Rhinolophus ferrumequinum: one gene and its partner. The protein of the gene in region 1 interacts with the protein of each later gene in a biochemical or structural test. Links are inferred from orthologs where the notes say so. Each region holds a gene or a part of one and is shown on either strand. Other genes may lie near its edges.

Evidence for each region.
Region 2: the proteins of NHERF2 (region 1) and PODXL form a complex in vitro, tested with the Homo sapiens proteins (3 studies listed by BioGRID and IntAct, with this or other methods). The link is inferred for Rhinolophus ferrumequinum from reciprocal best matches to the Homo sapiens genes NHERF2 and PODXL.

The regions. Positions count from the first base shown.
Region 1 is NW_022680357.1:3,770,452-3,777,379, forward strand, and holds the start of NHERF2 (Na(+)/H(+) exchange regulatory cofactor NHE-RF2), read left to right. Parts: upstream 1-3,928; 5' UTR 3,929-4,063; coding exon 4,064-4,276; intron 4,277-6,824; coding exon 6,825-6,928.
Region 2 is NC_046309.1:15,373,246-15,380,383, reverse strand, and holds the start of PODXL (podocalyxin), read right to left. Parts: upstream 3,014-7,138; coding exon 2,837-3,013; intron 2,733-2,836; coding exon 2,585-2,732; intron 1-2,584. UniProt on the Homo sapiens protein: Involved in the regulation of both adhesion and cell morphology and cancer progression. Functions as an anti-adhesive molecule that maintains an open filtration pathway between neighboring foot processes in the podocyte by charge repulsion.

The DNA of each region.
Region 1 (6,928 bases):
ACTGCTGCCCCTGCTACTCCCCGAGTTTGGCCTTTCAAAACATGGGTGTCCTGGGGGTGGCCAGTTAGCTCAGTTGGCTAGAATGCGGTTCTGTTAACAAGGTTGCTGGTTCGATCCCCACATGGGCCACTGTGAGCTGCACCCCCACAACTAGATTGAAACAACTACTTGATTTGGAGCTGATGGGTCCTGGAAAAACACGCTTAAAATAAATAAAAGTTTAAAACAAACAAACAAACACCTTATCACCCCCAGTGCACACTAAAAAGGGCTTCCCACTGTTGGTGGAACTAAATCTGTGCTCTGGGTCTGGGTCACAGGGCTGGACCTATGCCCCACTCTCATTGCGCCCTCCCCACCCCACATAGCCTGCAGACACTCTGCATTCCAGAACAACTCTATGGTCCACCCTGAAGGACTCCAAGGTTCCAGGCAGGGTTAACTGCCCCTCCTTGGGGCTGCCCCAACCCTGGGCCTCCTCCCCTTGCCAAGGTACACAAATCCCTGTTTCTATGGGTCGAGATGTTTCTCTAGTGCTCACCAGCGCTTGGCGCCAAGTGGTCCACAAATATTTGTCCCCAAGTGCTGGAACACTTGGTGAGGCGCCCGATTTCATGTTGCCTGGAGGTACCCCGGTTCAGAGAGATTGGTGCTAGGTCCAAGATGAGGGAGCATAGCTGATTAGGGGCTATGCAGAGGCTCGGCTTCTCCGCCTACCACCCTCATGGCCCCCCTATGTCTCTGTGGGGCAAGCAGCCCTAGGACGCCAGCCGCATCCCAATCCCCACCTGGCAGGGCAGGACCCAGTTAGAGCCGCAGGGGCGGGGTCTAGGGCAACCCCTCGGACTATGCAATCTCAGCCAGAGCCCGCAAGGGGCGCTGCGCGGCCGCACTTCTGGGTTAGAGCCCCGCTCCGCGCCTCTCGCGATGGGAGGGGTTGGGTGGCTCGTGGGCAGGGCCAGAGGGGAGTGGGCGGGGCAAGTCGCCCCGGGCGTCTTGGGCTAGTTTCCTGCGCGTCTTCCCTTTTTGGTCCTGTCGGTTCTCCCCTTCTCTCTCACTCTCATCTCCGGGTCTCGTTCTCATCTCTTCCCGTCGCCCTCGTCCTGCCTGCTCCAATTTCGGGCTCGGAAGTAAGGCCTGGTGTCTGAGAGAGGAGGCCCTAAACGGGGCCTGGTCATCCCGCGGGGCCATTAATGCCCATTAGGGAGGCGGTGCCAGCCGAAGAAGCTCTGGGCCATTAGCGGGGCGTCAGACTAATGGCTCCACCCCCCAGACAGGCCGGAGCCCTTCCTCTGACTGTGACCAAGCCTCTGCCCACTGCCACACCCCAAGTCCCCTCCCAGGCTCAGGCTCCGCCCTTCGCTGGGGGCCTTGTAGCAGCGAGCTGGGCTCAAAACTCAGAGGAAAGTCCCCTCCTTACCCCAGGAGGACCATCAGGGGCCTAGAGCACTCACAAAGTCTGCATAGCAAGATGGCAGGAGTGGGTGAGGGAGTGGGGGGTGGGTTATCACCCAGACCACCTCTGATCTGACATCCTGCTGGCCTCAAGGCTCACTTCCCCTACCCCTTCCCCAGGGACCCCAAACAGTTCACAGCCCTTGGACACCTTTTAGCCCACACTCTGGGCCTCTGCCTTAGCCTCTTTCTCTGAAGCCCGAGGCTGGAGGGAATGGCAGGGGAGAGTTTACCTGAGAGCTTCCTCATGGCTGTTACTCCAGGTCCTTGAAACTGACTCTGCTCTCTCTTACTCATTCCTGCTCCCCCTTTGTAATTTTTACCAGCAGTTCTTTTACCACCCAGAATAACCTGGGTGGTTATTCTGTTGCTGTTACCCACCTCCTTTGTTACTGTTATCTTCCTGGGTACTTTCCAGGCTTTGGGGCCTCCTTTGTTATTGTGGGATGCAATGTTCTTCCTGGCCCCTGGCTGTGACCACATGCCATTACCCCTCCCTCCAGCTGTGTTCTGTTCCCATCCATCTTCACTCACAGGCTGAGTCCTGGGCTGTGGAAGGCGAAAGGGCCCAAGACTGATTAGTGGTTCTCCTATGGATGGGGGAGATGGTCTCCAAGCCTTCTGACCCAGGGAACTAGGGGCCTCTACCTTCTCTGGTGATTTCCCATCCAGCCAGCTACCTCAACTCTGGTGTGGCCCCAAAGCTACAGTTTGGCAGGTCCTGGGTGGTCCTGGTTGCTATAGGGTAATCCCTTGGGGTGGTATATGGTGGACCTCCCAGCCCACACCCATCCTCCCAGCCTCCTGGGGCAGAAGCACCAGGCTGGGCCAGGGGAGGCCAGTCGCAGGCCAGACAGGCAGCTTCTGGACAGGCAGACAGATGGAGGTGGCCAGCCATATGGGCGTCTATGGCAGCATCAGTCAGGAACTCAGAGGTGGGGGTGGGGGAACAGCCATGCAGCTTTGGCCTAAGTGGCTTTTAGGGGCAGCAGTTGGGGTGTGGATACCCAAGGGGCTGGGGCCCAGGAGGCTGCCCAGAGGCGGGCCTTGTGCTTGGGCGGGGGTTGGGAGCCCAGCCTGAGGGCACTGGAGAGGGGAGAAGTAGCAGCAAGGACTGGGCCGGATCTGAACCTACTTCTGCCCTCATGGGGAACTGTCTGGGCTGGCTGTGCCTGACCCCCAGGCACCAGGTATGTGCAGGGGGCAGGGCAGGGCTGGGGAGGGGCAGATTGAGGGGAAGCCTGGGCCAGTTGTCTTCTGTATCTGAGGCTGCGAGGACTGTGGACTTAGAATCTCAGCCCTGGGCCCTAGAGGAGCCCAGGGTGGGAGCCTCACCTTGGTCTCTTCCCTCTCCAAACCTTGGTCTTTTGATCTGTAAAATGGCCTGAGGCCCCTAGGGTTGTTCCAGGTAAAATGCTCTCAGAGGCAAGACAAAGCATAAATGATTCTTCATTGTGATTATTGTCCAGTTGTGGGAAGAGGGCACTCATCCTGGGAGGGGGTAGAGGTTAAGGGAGGGAGGTAGAGGCTAAGAGGTGGGGAGGAAGAAGGGAGGGGAGGGCTCTGTGTGGAGGATCCAACAGGTTTCTGCTCAAGGAAACACCTCCTGTGAGTGCTGACCACAGGCCCGAGCTCAGAGGCCAAAGTCCTCAGCACATTTCATCCCAGGTCAGGAGTGGGGTAGCAAAGACCCTCTTGTCCCAGCCAGACGAGCATTTCCTTCCCCCACCCTTTCTGTCACCTACCAGGCCTAGGATGAGCAGGGTCATAAGTGGGGGCCCTTGGCATAGGGAGGGAATGATGGACACGCACAGCACAGATCAGCACAAACACGCCTGGGGAGGGCCAGGGAGTCACCCAGTCACTGACCTCCAGTACATAAGTAGGGGCTGCTGCCATGTCACTTGCAAACCTCTCTTTTTGCCTCTGGGTCCACCCTGGGCCAGGGCATCAATGAGTGCAGGAAGGATCCATATATATAGACGGTGGTGGTGGTGGTGGTGGTGGTGGTGGTGGTGGTGGTGGTGGTGGTGGTGGTGGTGGTGGCAATGTAGCTTCCCAAGGAGGATGGGGAGAGCTGTGGCCCTCCTTGTTACCCGCTGTCTCCAGTGTGTGTGCGGGGGTCCTTAGGCTCTATAACACTTTCTCCATCCCTCTCCCACTTTATAAGTGTAGAGCCCTGCATGCAGTAGGTGGTTAATAAATGTTCCTGGAATAGAAGGCAAAAGCGCTGGAGCCAAGGAGGCTGCCGAGAGTGAGGGCGAGACAGAGAGGTTCCGGTGATTCGGGGTACCCTGTCCCTACAGTCTTCCCCCGACTCCCTTTGGGCTTGCAGGGCGCCGGGACAGGGGAAGGCCAGGATGGCTTGGACTCAAGGCGGGGGCGGCGGGGCACTGAGGGGGCGGGGAAGGGGCGGCGCGGGGGCGGTGCCGCAGCCGGAGCTCCGGTCCGAGCCCGAGGCGACGGGAGCCGAGCCGGAGCCACCGAGGACGCCGCCGGGTCCCCAGCGCCTCCGCAGCCTCCTCCGCGCCGCCCAGCGCTCCTGCCTGCCCCGGACGGCCGTCAGCGCCGTGGCCGGTCCGTGGTCGGCGGGTGGGCAGCCGGCGCCATGGCCGCGCCAGAGCCGCTGCGGCCGCGCCTGTGCCACCTGGTGCGCGGCGAGCAGGGCTACGGCTTCCACCTGCACGGCGAGAAGGGCCGCCGCGGGCAGTTCATCCGGCGCGTGGAGCCGGGCTCCCCAGCCGAGGCGGCCGCGCTGCGCGCCGGAGACCGCCTGGTCGAGGTCAACGGCGTCAACGTGGAGGGCGAGACGCACCACCAGGTGGGTGCCTGCGCCCCGCTGGGGCCCGCCGGACGCCCTCCCCGGGAGCGCGACCCTGTCCCGCGCGCGCGGGGTGGCGCCAACGACCACCCCGTCCGGCGCTGCCCGAGCCCAGGCCTCAGCTCCCTGTTGGAGGCCAGGAGGGGGGTCGCACCAGGGCCTGCGTGCCTCTCCCTCCGGGTGGTGGGGGACATGGCCACGGAGGCAGGGGCCGCCAGCCTTTTCCCTAGCCTCCCCCACTCCTCAGGAAGCTCGGTCCTGCACCGCGGAGGGGGAGATCCTGGAAGGGAGGGGCCCGCACTGCGGCTCCTTAGCTTGGCTCAGGCTCTCGCACTTTAGGCTTGTTCTGGCCTCAGTGTGCTAAGTGTGGAGGTGTGGGACACCTTGGCGGGGGGCTCTCCATGCAAGGGAAGACCCTGGGTGCTTTTCTATGTGTGTACACACGCGGGTGTGTACAAAACTGGGTATATGTGTGAGTGTGCAGGTCCCTCTGGGGATCACCCATGTGTGCACACATCTGCCTGTGTGTGCCTGGAGGGTGTCACAGTAGGGGCACACCTGTGTGTTCCTGCATCAGGGAGTGTGTGTGCTGGACTGTGTGCGTGTGAATATACACGTCTGCACCCTGGGTTTGTGTGTGTGGACAGATCTGCACACCTGGACATGTGTATATGAGCTGGGCTGTGTGTGTGTGCATGAGCGCATGCGTGCTGGATGAGTGTGTATGAGCTGAGTTGTATGTGTGAAAATATTTATGTCTGCGCACCTGGATGTGTGGAGTCATCAGTGCGTTTTTGGCAGCCAGTACTCTGGTGTGTGCCCTGGCTGATGGTGCCAGGGTCACTGCTGGGGGCAGCGCATGTCTCTCCTCGGAGGCTGCTGGCCTTGCAGGCACCACCAGCCGCAGCCCCCAGCCTCCTACAGCTGAAGATGAGGGCCAGAGGGAGGGCAGAGTCTCCTCTCTACAGGTTCTGACCCCTAGGGGTGTCCATCTCCCACTGGCTGGAGACTCACCTGAGTTGGGTCTAGCCTTCCTCCACTCCTCTGCTTAGGGTCCTCTGTGTCCCCCCAGTGCCTCTGCATCCATGATATGTTGGTGTGGCCAGCTCTTGGGGCCTAGAGATTAGTGTAGTGGTTTTTGGCTGGGCCAGGAGCTGACCTCCTGCTCTCACCCTGGGCCCTTGTCTATCTCTGTATCTGTCTGCTGTCCTCTGTCTCCCACCCAGAATGTCAACCTGATAAAGCTGTTTGCTGAAGGAGGGTGGGGGTCAGGGCCAGAGGGCTTGGCTTGACAGGTCACAGGGAGGGGCTGGCAGAGCTGGTACCTGTCCTCTGTTTAACACTCATTGCCACCCTTGCCCCTACTTGTCCCAGGCTTCCGGGTGCTGGTCTAAGAACTTCACACACAGGAGCCTGTGGGACCCTCCCACTGCCCCAGGAGGGAGGGTGTGCAGTTATAGCTCCCATCTTAACAGATGAAAAAAACCGATGCTTAGAGATGTTAGGTGACTGGTCTGGGTCCCACAGTCAGGAAGGAGCAGGCTGCTGGGGCCCTGCTGCGACTCTCAGAGTCACAGGGAGAGGAGGGACAAAGCAGGGCTGCGGGAAGATGGGCCTGATTCAGACCCTCCTCTCTGTTGACAAGTTCTGCCAAGCAGCAGATGGGGACTCCATCTACCCTCCCCAAGGCCTTGGGGTGGGTGTGAGTGTGTTACCCTTCCTACCCCAAGGCCCGGTGGGCACTTTCTCCTTTTCCCTGCAGGGCACCGTGGCATGCATGCCCCATGGTCACCCACATGTTTTAGATACGTCATAGGCACCTGCATAGACACACAGATGGCCACATGCCACACTTGTCCCACAGGTGGACCTGCCCCTCCCCACCTCCACCTGCTTGGTGTGAATCCTGTTTATGGGGTGCTGTGTGATGCCTGAGTAGGTGCCTTGCCACAGGAACCCAGGGCTTCCCCTCTCTGCAGGTCCAGCCAGAGTGGGTCCATGGTCCGGATCAAATAGGGGGCTTAGAGTCAGGGGTGTAGATGTCCATGCTCCACCATTGAGAAGGACACAAATGGGCACCGACCCACCCAGGTCGTGACACCCAGGGAGACGCCTCTCTCCCTCCAATCGACTAAGACCCTGAAATAGGTGGATGCATGCCTGCACACATGCAAACATACACATGCACACACGCATACACACTGACACACCGAAACCTGAAGCTCAGCCATGTGCCATCGTTGTCACTTCCACACTGGTTGCCTCACCCAACTTCCCTGCCCCTCCTGGAAAAGATGCTGGGCTGAGGCCCTGGGACCAACCTGCAGCCCTTACAGCCTGAGCCCTAGTGTCTGGAGCCCCGGGAGAGGAGCGACTGAGCGGCTGGAGCCCGGGGGTGGGGGGCGGAGCTGGCGGGCCTCTCAGCCCAGCGACCCCCCCTTGATAGGCCAGCTGCCTGCCCACGAGCCCTGCCAGCTTTGGGTGGTGCCATTGTCCATGTGCTGCCCAGAGAGCTGGCCGCTGACCCACCGCCACCTGCCCGTCCCAGGTGGTGCAGAGGATCAAGGCTGTGGAAGGGCAGACTCAGCTGCTGGTGGTGGATAAGGAGACGGATGAGGAACTGCGGCGGCGGCGGCTGACCTGCACCCAGGA
Region 2 (7,138 bases), on another chromosome or scaffold:
TGACATGCCAGTAACATCAAGTATACCCAGCCATTCTCCAATAAAATGAACCAAGGCTCCTTGCAGAAATGACTTGACTCTAGTGCTGACATAGGGAAAATACAAGATGAGCCTGGAACACCCTGTAATGCCAAACATAGGAAGTGCTAAAAGAAGAAAAAAAAGTGGGCAAATCCAAAAGACAAAGAGCTCCCAAAGGCCAAACTTGGAACAATTTAAGCAACAAAATAAAAAATACTGTATTGGAACCGAAAGAATATAATAAATATCTATGAGTCCGTGCTGATAAATGATTGAATAAATAAATCAATGGGGAAGAAGGACCAAATTATCCTTACAAAAGAATTCCAAAAAATTGCAGCTACTCTTCCCATCTCTAAGAGGAATATATTCTGCCCCACCCCTATATAAATGTGGGTTGGTCTTAGTAACTCTCTTCTAACAGAGGATGGAAAGGGAAAAATAGTAACATTATAGTGGAGAAATCTGACAGACACATCATCTTTCCCAAATGATCAAGGTTAACATCACCAGTGATAAGTCATGACCATCCACAAGTCATCATATCCCCTGATAAGCTGTGATGAGAAGGGCACTTCTGTCATCTTCTTTCTAAAAATACATCACCCCAGTCTAACCATGAAAAACCATCAGACACACCCCAATTGGAAGACATTCCACAAAATATCCGGCTAGTACTCTTAAAAACCATCAAGATTATGAACAATAAGGAAAGAATAAGAAACTTCCACAGATTGTAAGAGACGAGTCAGACGTGATGATTAAATGCAATGTCATGTTCTGGAACAAAAGAGACCATTAGTGGAAATACCGGTAAAATATAAATATAAATGTCTGTAGTTTAGTTATTAGTAATGTACCAGTGTTAACTTCTTAGTTGTGATAAATGTACCATGATTGTGTAAGATGTTAACATTAGGGGAAGCTGAAAGGTATATGAACTCTCTGTACCATCTTTGCAACTCTTCTATAAATCTACAATTATTTAAAAACTTTTTAAAAAGGGGAAATAAAAAAGAATTAGGAAAAGATAGTTGCGACATATGTAGTCATAAAAGATTTGTATCTAGAAAACATTTAAAAAAAAAACAAAAAAACTTCTATATAAGAAAACAACAACCTCTTAGGCAAAAATAGCCAAAAGAATTAAACAGGTATTTCACAGAAGAAGTAGCCCAAATAGCCTCTGGACATTCTAAAATATGTTAGTAATTAGGGAAATGCAAAATCAAATAAGAATTATTTCATATCCACTAGAATGGCAAAATTTTTTACGTCAGACAATAACCAGTGTCAGCAAGAATATGGAGTAGTGTAAATTGGTATAAACACATTGGAAAATAGTATGGCATTACCAAGTGATAGCTTTCAATCTACAACTTTCAGTTGTATCACCAGGCATTTACCCTAGGGAGATGCATATATGTATGCATCAGGAAGTATTCTTGAGATTGTTCTTAACAGGGTTTTTGTAGCGGCCCCATACAGTTAACAAGCAAATGTTTATCAAAAGTAGTATGGATAAATAAGTTATTGTATATTCACATATTGGAATACTACACAGCCCTGGAAATCAGCAAATGCATTATATGTATTTTATTATCTAATACATGTATTAACATGAATTAATCTAAAAAATAATACTGAACAATAAAAACAAGACTACTTATATGACTTTATGAGTCAAAAATTGGCAAAACTAAATATGATTTTAGAGATAGAAACAGAAAATATTACTACAATTTTACAGAATTTAATACTAAGTTTGGGATAACTTAATACTAAATTTAGGATTAGGGAGATGCAACAGGGACGTCTGTTTTGGTGTGTGTGTGTGTGTGTGTGTGTGTGTGTGTGTGTGTGTTGCCAAGGGGGGAGTGGTTGATTGTACTGAATGATGAGACTGGCAATAATGGAAGTCCATGGCCACCTCAACTTACAGGTGGAAAACCTGACTGGGGCTGACTGAAGAGACAGTGAGCGGTCGAGAAGTGAGCGTGTGTGTGTGTGTGTGTGTGTGTGTGTGTGTGTGTGTGTAGATAACTATCAAATGTTAGGCATGAAGAGGAGCTGAGAAATACGGCAGCCACTGGAGGGAGCTGGTCCAGCCAAGAACGTTTTGCTTTCTTTTTTGAAGGTAGGAGACCTTAGGGCTGATGGAAAACTCTCCTTTTATGTTCCCACTCTGCAGTCTCCTCGGGTCCTTAAGATACAGAAAGGAATACACGTGTGTTGACCCAGAACCCCCACGGAGGACCCGGACTTTATTACGTGGTCGGACACTTCCGCCTCTGAAACCGGCCACTTCCGCCTTTGAAACCGGAAGGAGCATGGACACAGACGGTGAGTACGTTGTAATTTTGGTAGCGAGACGATGCGTTCCCCTTGGCCCGCTTCAGTGTTCCCCATCAAGTCTCGATGGACTCAGCCACACTGATGTAGATAAAATACGAGAGGAGGAAGAACGAGGCGGCAGGAGGAAGTACGAAACACTCATCTCGGAAATGGGACACGGAGCCTACTAGAAACGTGGGTCTCAAACTTGAGGGAGCATCAGAATCACCTGGGGGGACCCCAGCCCCCGAGTTTCTGATTCCGCAGGTCGGGGGTGGAGCATAAGAACGTGGGTTTCGAACAAGTTCCTCAGTTGTTGTGATGCTGCTGGCAGGGGGGCCGCCCTGGGGGTCACTGTGCTGGAGAACACAGTAGGGCTGCCGGGGAGGATTTGCCAGATGAAGGCGTAAAATCACGAATTTAAAAGTAATCCGATCAGTGAGGGCGAGTGATTTTTCTCCCCTAGCAGCAGCGTTCCGGCTTTGGCAGAGGCACGGGAAGGGCGGGGGCAGGGTTCATCGGGAATGGGGTCTGCTCGGTGAGTCGCCTGCCGGCTGGAGGGGGTGCGAGGGCCCTGAGGGTGTTTGTCCGTAGGGATTACAGTGGGTGGTGGTGAAACGGGCCGCACGACGACAGACTGGCTGATAGGCACTGACATGGGCCGCTACGGTGTCGTTGTCTTGAGTCCAAGCATTACGGTGTCGTTGAACGTGAGCAGACAGACCGGAAGGTAGAGAAACAGTGGTCAAAGCATGAAACGCCTCGATTTCAGAGGTGGTGCGGTTTGTGGCGGTGATCACCTCCCGGGGGCGAAACAGGCATGACTGAATGAAGGAGACGAGACAAGCTCACGCAGCTGGGAGGCCTGGCCGTTGAATTGTTTACCCAAGTGGGTACGGGGGCCACTGAGGGTGGCGTCGCGACTTGAGATGGAGAGGGAGGCGTGAAGGCCTTCAGTGAGCGAGGGGTCATGCCAGCGCAGTCGGTAAGACAACTGCAGGGAGCAGAGGAAGCCGGTCTTGAAGGCTGTGTGGACATGAGTGCGGTGCACGGGGCAGCCCCCTCGAGGTGCTGGGTCCTCCCGGTGCTTATCTCCAGCGCAGGGAGGTGGGGAGTGGATGCGAGTGGGAGAAGCTTCACTTCAGTGTCCTCCCCTGGGCCGAGAACACTGCTCTCAACCTTCAGTGAGGGCCTGCTTCCTCCTGTTCCTGGCCATTGACAGACCTGGGTTGACTCCTGACTATTAATAGTGGGAGAGGAAACTCAAAAGAATGCCCCAGGAAGAGGGCGTGTGGCAGGAGGGCAGGAAGGCAGTAAGCGGGGCGGCTCTGGCCGGGACACCAGTATATACGTCCCCTTCGTCCCTTGGTAACCCCAACTCACCCCCCCAGTCCACCCCCGCTGCCAACTGCTGTTCATCTCCAGGGAAATAAAACCAGAAAGCTCCAAGGGGGCACAGGGGAAGGGCAGAAACCAGGCAGGGTACGCTGATGCCTGGAGACCGAGGAACGTGCAGACTGGGGAATCAGAGACCTGGGCCTGTGGTCTGGGTTCCGCCTCCGATCCCCAAGGCCTCGGGTCGGTCCTCGGCCCTCTATAAAAGAAACACATCTGTGAAATGGGCCCGCTGACGTCTCAGGGCCCTGGGGATGCATAGGTCCTTTCCCAAACGTGATGCTGTCATGGGTCAGGCGGCTTTTGCTGTGACAAGAGCCATCCTAACCAGCCACTTCAGAGGCCTTGCTCTGGGCCTTTCTGAGACCTGCTGGACCCTGAAACTCCTTTCCCCAGCATATGGCATCTGCTTTGTGAACCTCTTCCCTCCCAGGAGGCCCTGCTCGTGACCTGGAAGGGCAAGGCGATGCTGCCTCAGGTTCAGGCTGGTTGAAGCCTCCCCTAGCTCTCTAGGGCCCACCCCTCTCAGACCCCAAATCCTTTATGGCTGGGCCTCTGCGTAGCAGCTGGGAATTACAGTGCGGCTGGTAGGATGGGGGCTTTGGAAGGATGATGGCCCCAAAGTCCTGGCATCAGTAAGGGACCTGGGGCTGCCCTAGGGCCCGAGAGAGGCTCCGGGCCCCCTGATGGCCTGGCCAGTACTTTCCCCCAGTGCCCGTACATCAGATGTCCTCTCTTTACACTGCATTCAGCCCCTCTCACTCTCCTTCCTTTATTTTGAAAAAGGTGATTCCCCGGCCTCCATGGTATGTTCCCACCTCTGTGCTTCTGGGGTTTTATCAGCTAAGTCAGTGCCCCTCCTTCCAGCCAGGACTTCCCATGTCCCTGCCTCCGCAGAGCTGGGTCATCCTTTCCCACTGCCTCCCTCTTACTTAGCTGAGCACTCGCTGCCTCCACCAAGAGGCCCTTCTGGGCTCCCCCCTCTGCCCCCACTGTGCGTCCTGTCCCTGGAGACTGTTTGCTCTGGTGTTCGGCCCGAGGTATCTCACTCGTTCTGTACCCACCCCTTATAAATACTTGTCCTCTGTGGCATTAAGAAAGCTACTCCCATCCCCCCACCTCAAAGGTCCTAACTGCAGTGGTGGGGGTCGGGGAGCCTGACCTGGGGCTTGTGGGCAGAGGTCAGAGCTCTGGACCAGGAGCCTGGGAGGGGCAACAGGGAAGCTGACTCGCCTCACCTCTGCCAACCAGTATGGCGCTCTCCCAGGCCTGCACTGGGCTTGGGTAAAGCTGGGACCCTCTCGGTGCCCTGGGTCCTGTATCAGTTTCCTGGGGCTGCCATTCGAATGCCCACACACTGGGTGGCTTAAAACAGAAATTTATTCTCTCGGAGGTCTGGAGGCCAGAAGTCTGAAATCAAGGTTTGAGCAGGTCAGCTTCCCTCTGGAGCTGCCAAGGGGGAACCTTCCTTGCCTCTTCTAGCTTCTTGCAGTCGCTGGCATTCCTTGGCTTGCAGCAGTACGACTCCAATCTGTGTCACCATGGTCACATTGCTGCCTCTTCCCCTCTCTGTGTCACTTATAAGGAAACTTGTCAACAAGAAAAAGAGTATGACTGCCAAGTCAAACTTGTCAACAAGCACCCAGGTAATCCAGAAGGATTTCATCTCAAGATCCTCAGCTTAATTACATCTGCAAAGATGCTTTGTCCAAATAAGGTGATAATCACCAGTTTCAGGGATTTGATGTGTACATCTTTTTATTTTGAGAGGCGACCATTTTTCAGGCTGCCACAGGTCCCCCCAAAATGGGGATAACAATCTCTGGGGCTGGTCTCTATATGCCTCCAGGTGGCCCCTTGTTTGGGCTGGGGTCCCCAAAGATGCACCTGGTCAACTTCCCTGGCATAAGGGTGTTACACTCTGAATGTTTGGTGCCCCCCCCAAATTCCTGTGTTGAAGCCCTACCCCCCAATGGGATGGTATTAGGAGCTGGGGCCTTTGGGAGGCTTATCTGAGATCCTGAGGGTGGAGCCCCCATGATGGGACTAGTGTCCTTAGAAAAGGAAGAGCCACCAGAGCCTCCTGTCTGTCATGTGAGGACATGCAGGAAGGTGGCAGCTGCCTACAAGCCAGGAAGAGGGTTCTCTCCCGAACCTGACCTGCTGCCACCCTGAGCTTGGAATTGCCTGCCTCCAGAACTGTGAGAAATAAAGTCTGTTGTGTAGGCCATGCAGGCTGTGGTAGTTTGTTGCAGCTGCCCAAGCTAAGATAAGGGGCGCGGGGTAGAGGTTGGTAATGAGAGCAGAAATCGCAGGAAGGACAGCTCCAGTGTCGGGAAGGACAGAGTCCCAACCTGACCTCGTCACCCCCCGTCAGGCCGAGTGGTCAGGCAGACGGGCAGCTCTGTCTGCTGGCAGCTCTGTCTGCTGTACCGTGAGCCTGCCGTCTTGGTGCCTCTGGACAGCGAACAGCACCCTTGGGGGTTGGTTATCAGGCTCCTCAGCACCACCTCTCTCAGGGGCCCAGAGCTGCCCCCTCAGGGGAGATAATTCCGGGCATTCTTCAAATGTGGAATTGTTTGCCCTTATCAGCTTGTTTCAGCTGGCCTGCCCAACACCGGCTCGTAGGGTGGGGCCCGTCTGGCTGTTTCCCGGGGCAGGAGAGAGGGCTGCCACTGTCCAGCGTGGAGGTCTCCCAGCAATGGGGGAAGGCAGCCTTCGCTTGGGTGCACTCCTCCCTGCAGACGAGGGCACCAAGGCCTGAGGACCTCACCCCACTTCTTCCCCAAAACAGCAGTGCGTCATTCTTTCCTGTCCCCTGCACCTGGGAGTGTGGCCTGAGCCCGAGGGTACCCGCTCCAGTGCCCAGTCCTGCTGCCTGACCCTTCTCGCTCTTCCCCTCCCTCTCCACCAAACAGTGGTTAGGAGCCTGCCCCTGGAGCCCGACCACCTGGGTTCAAGGCCCAGTTCCATCACACTGGCTGTGCCAGGCAAGTGTCTTAACACTGTTCCTCAAACGTGAGGAGGGTAATGATAGTAACTACGTCACACCGCTGAGTCCTTAGAACAGTGGGTGCACACAGAAAGTGCTCGCGTCATGTCAGCCGTGCTTCTATCCCAAGGCAGACAGGAAAGGCTCCTCACTCGCTGCCCCGAGTCATGCCCCCACCGCGCTTCCCGTTACAGCGCCGCGCTCTAGCATGCCTCTTCCTCTGCGGATGTCACACCTGTGCAGGCCTCGTCCCAGGGGAAGGTGGACACAAGGCTTCCCCAGACCCACTGGGGCTCTCCCCAGGTTCTCCAGTGAGGTACGGCCGCGTGGGGAGGGGGGACGGGCAAGGTGACAGCACGGGGTGGTTATGGCCAGAGGAACTCCCAGAGAAGGGGC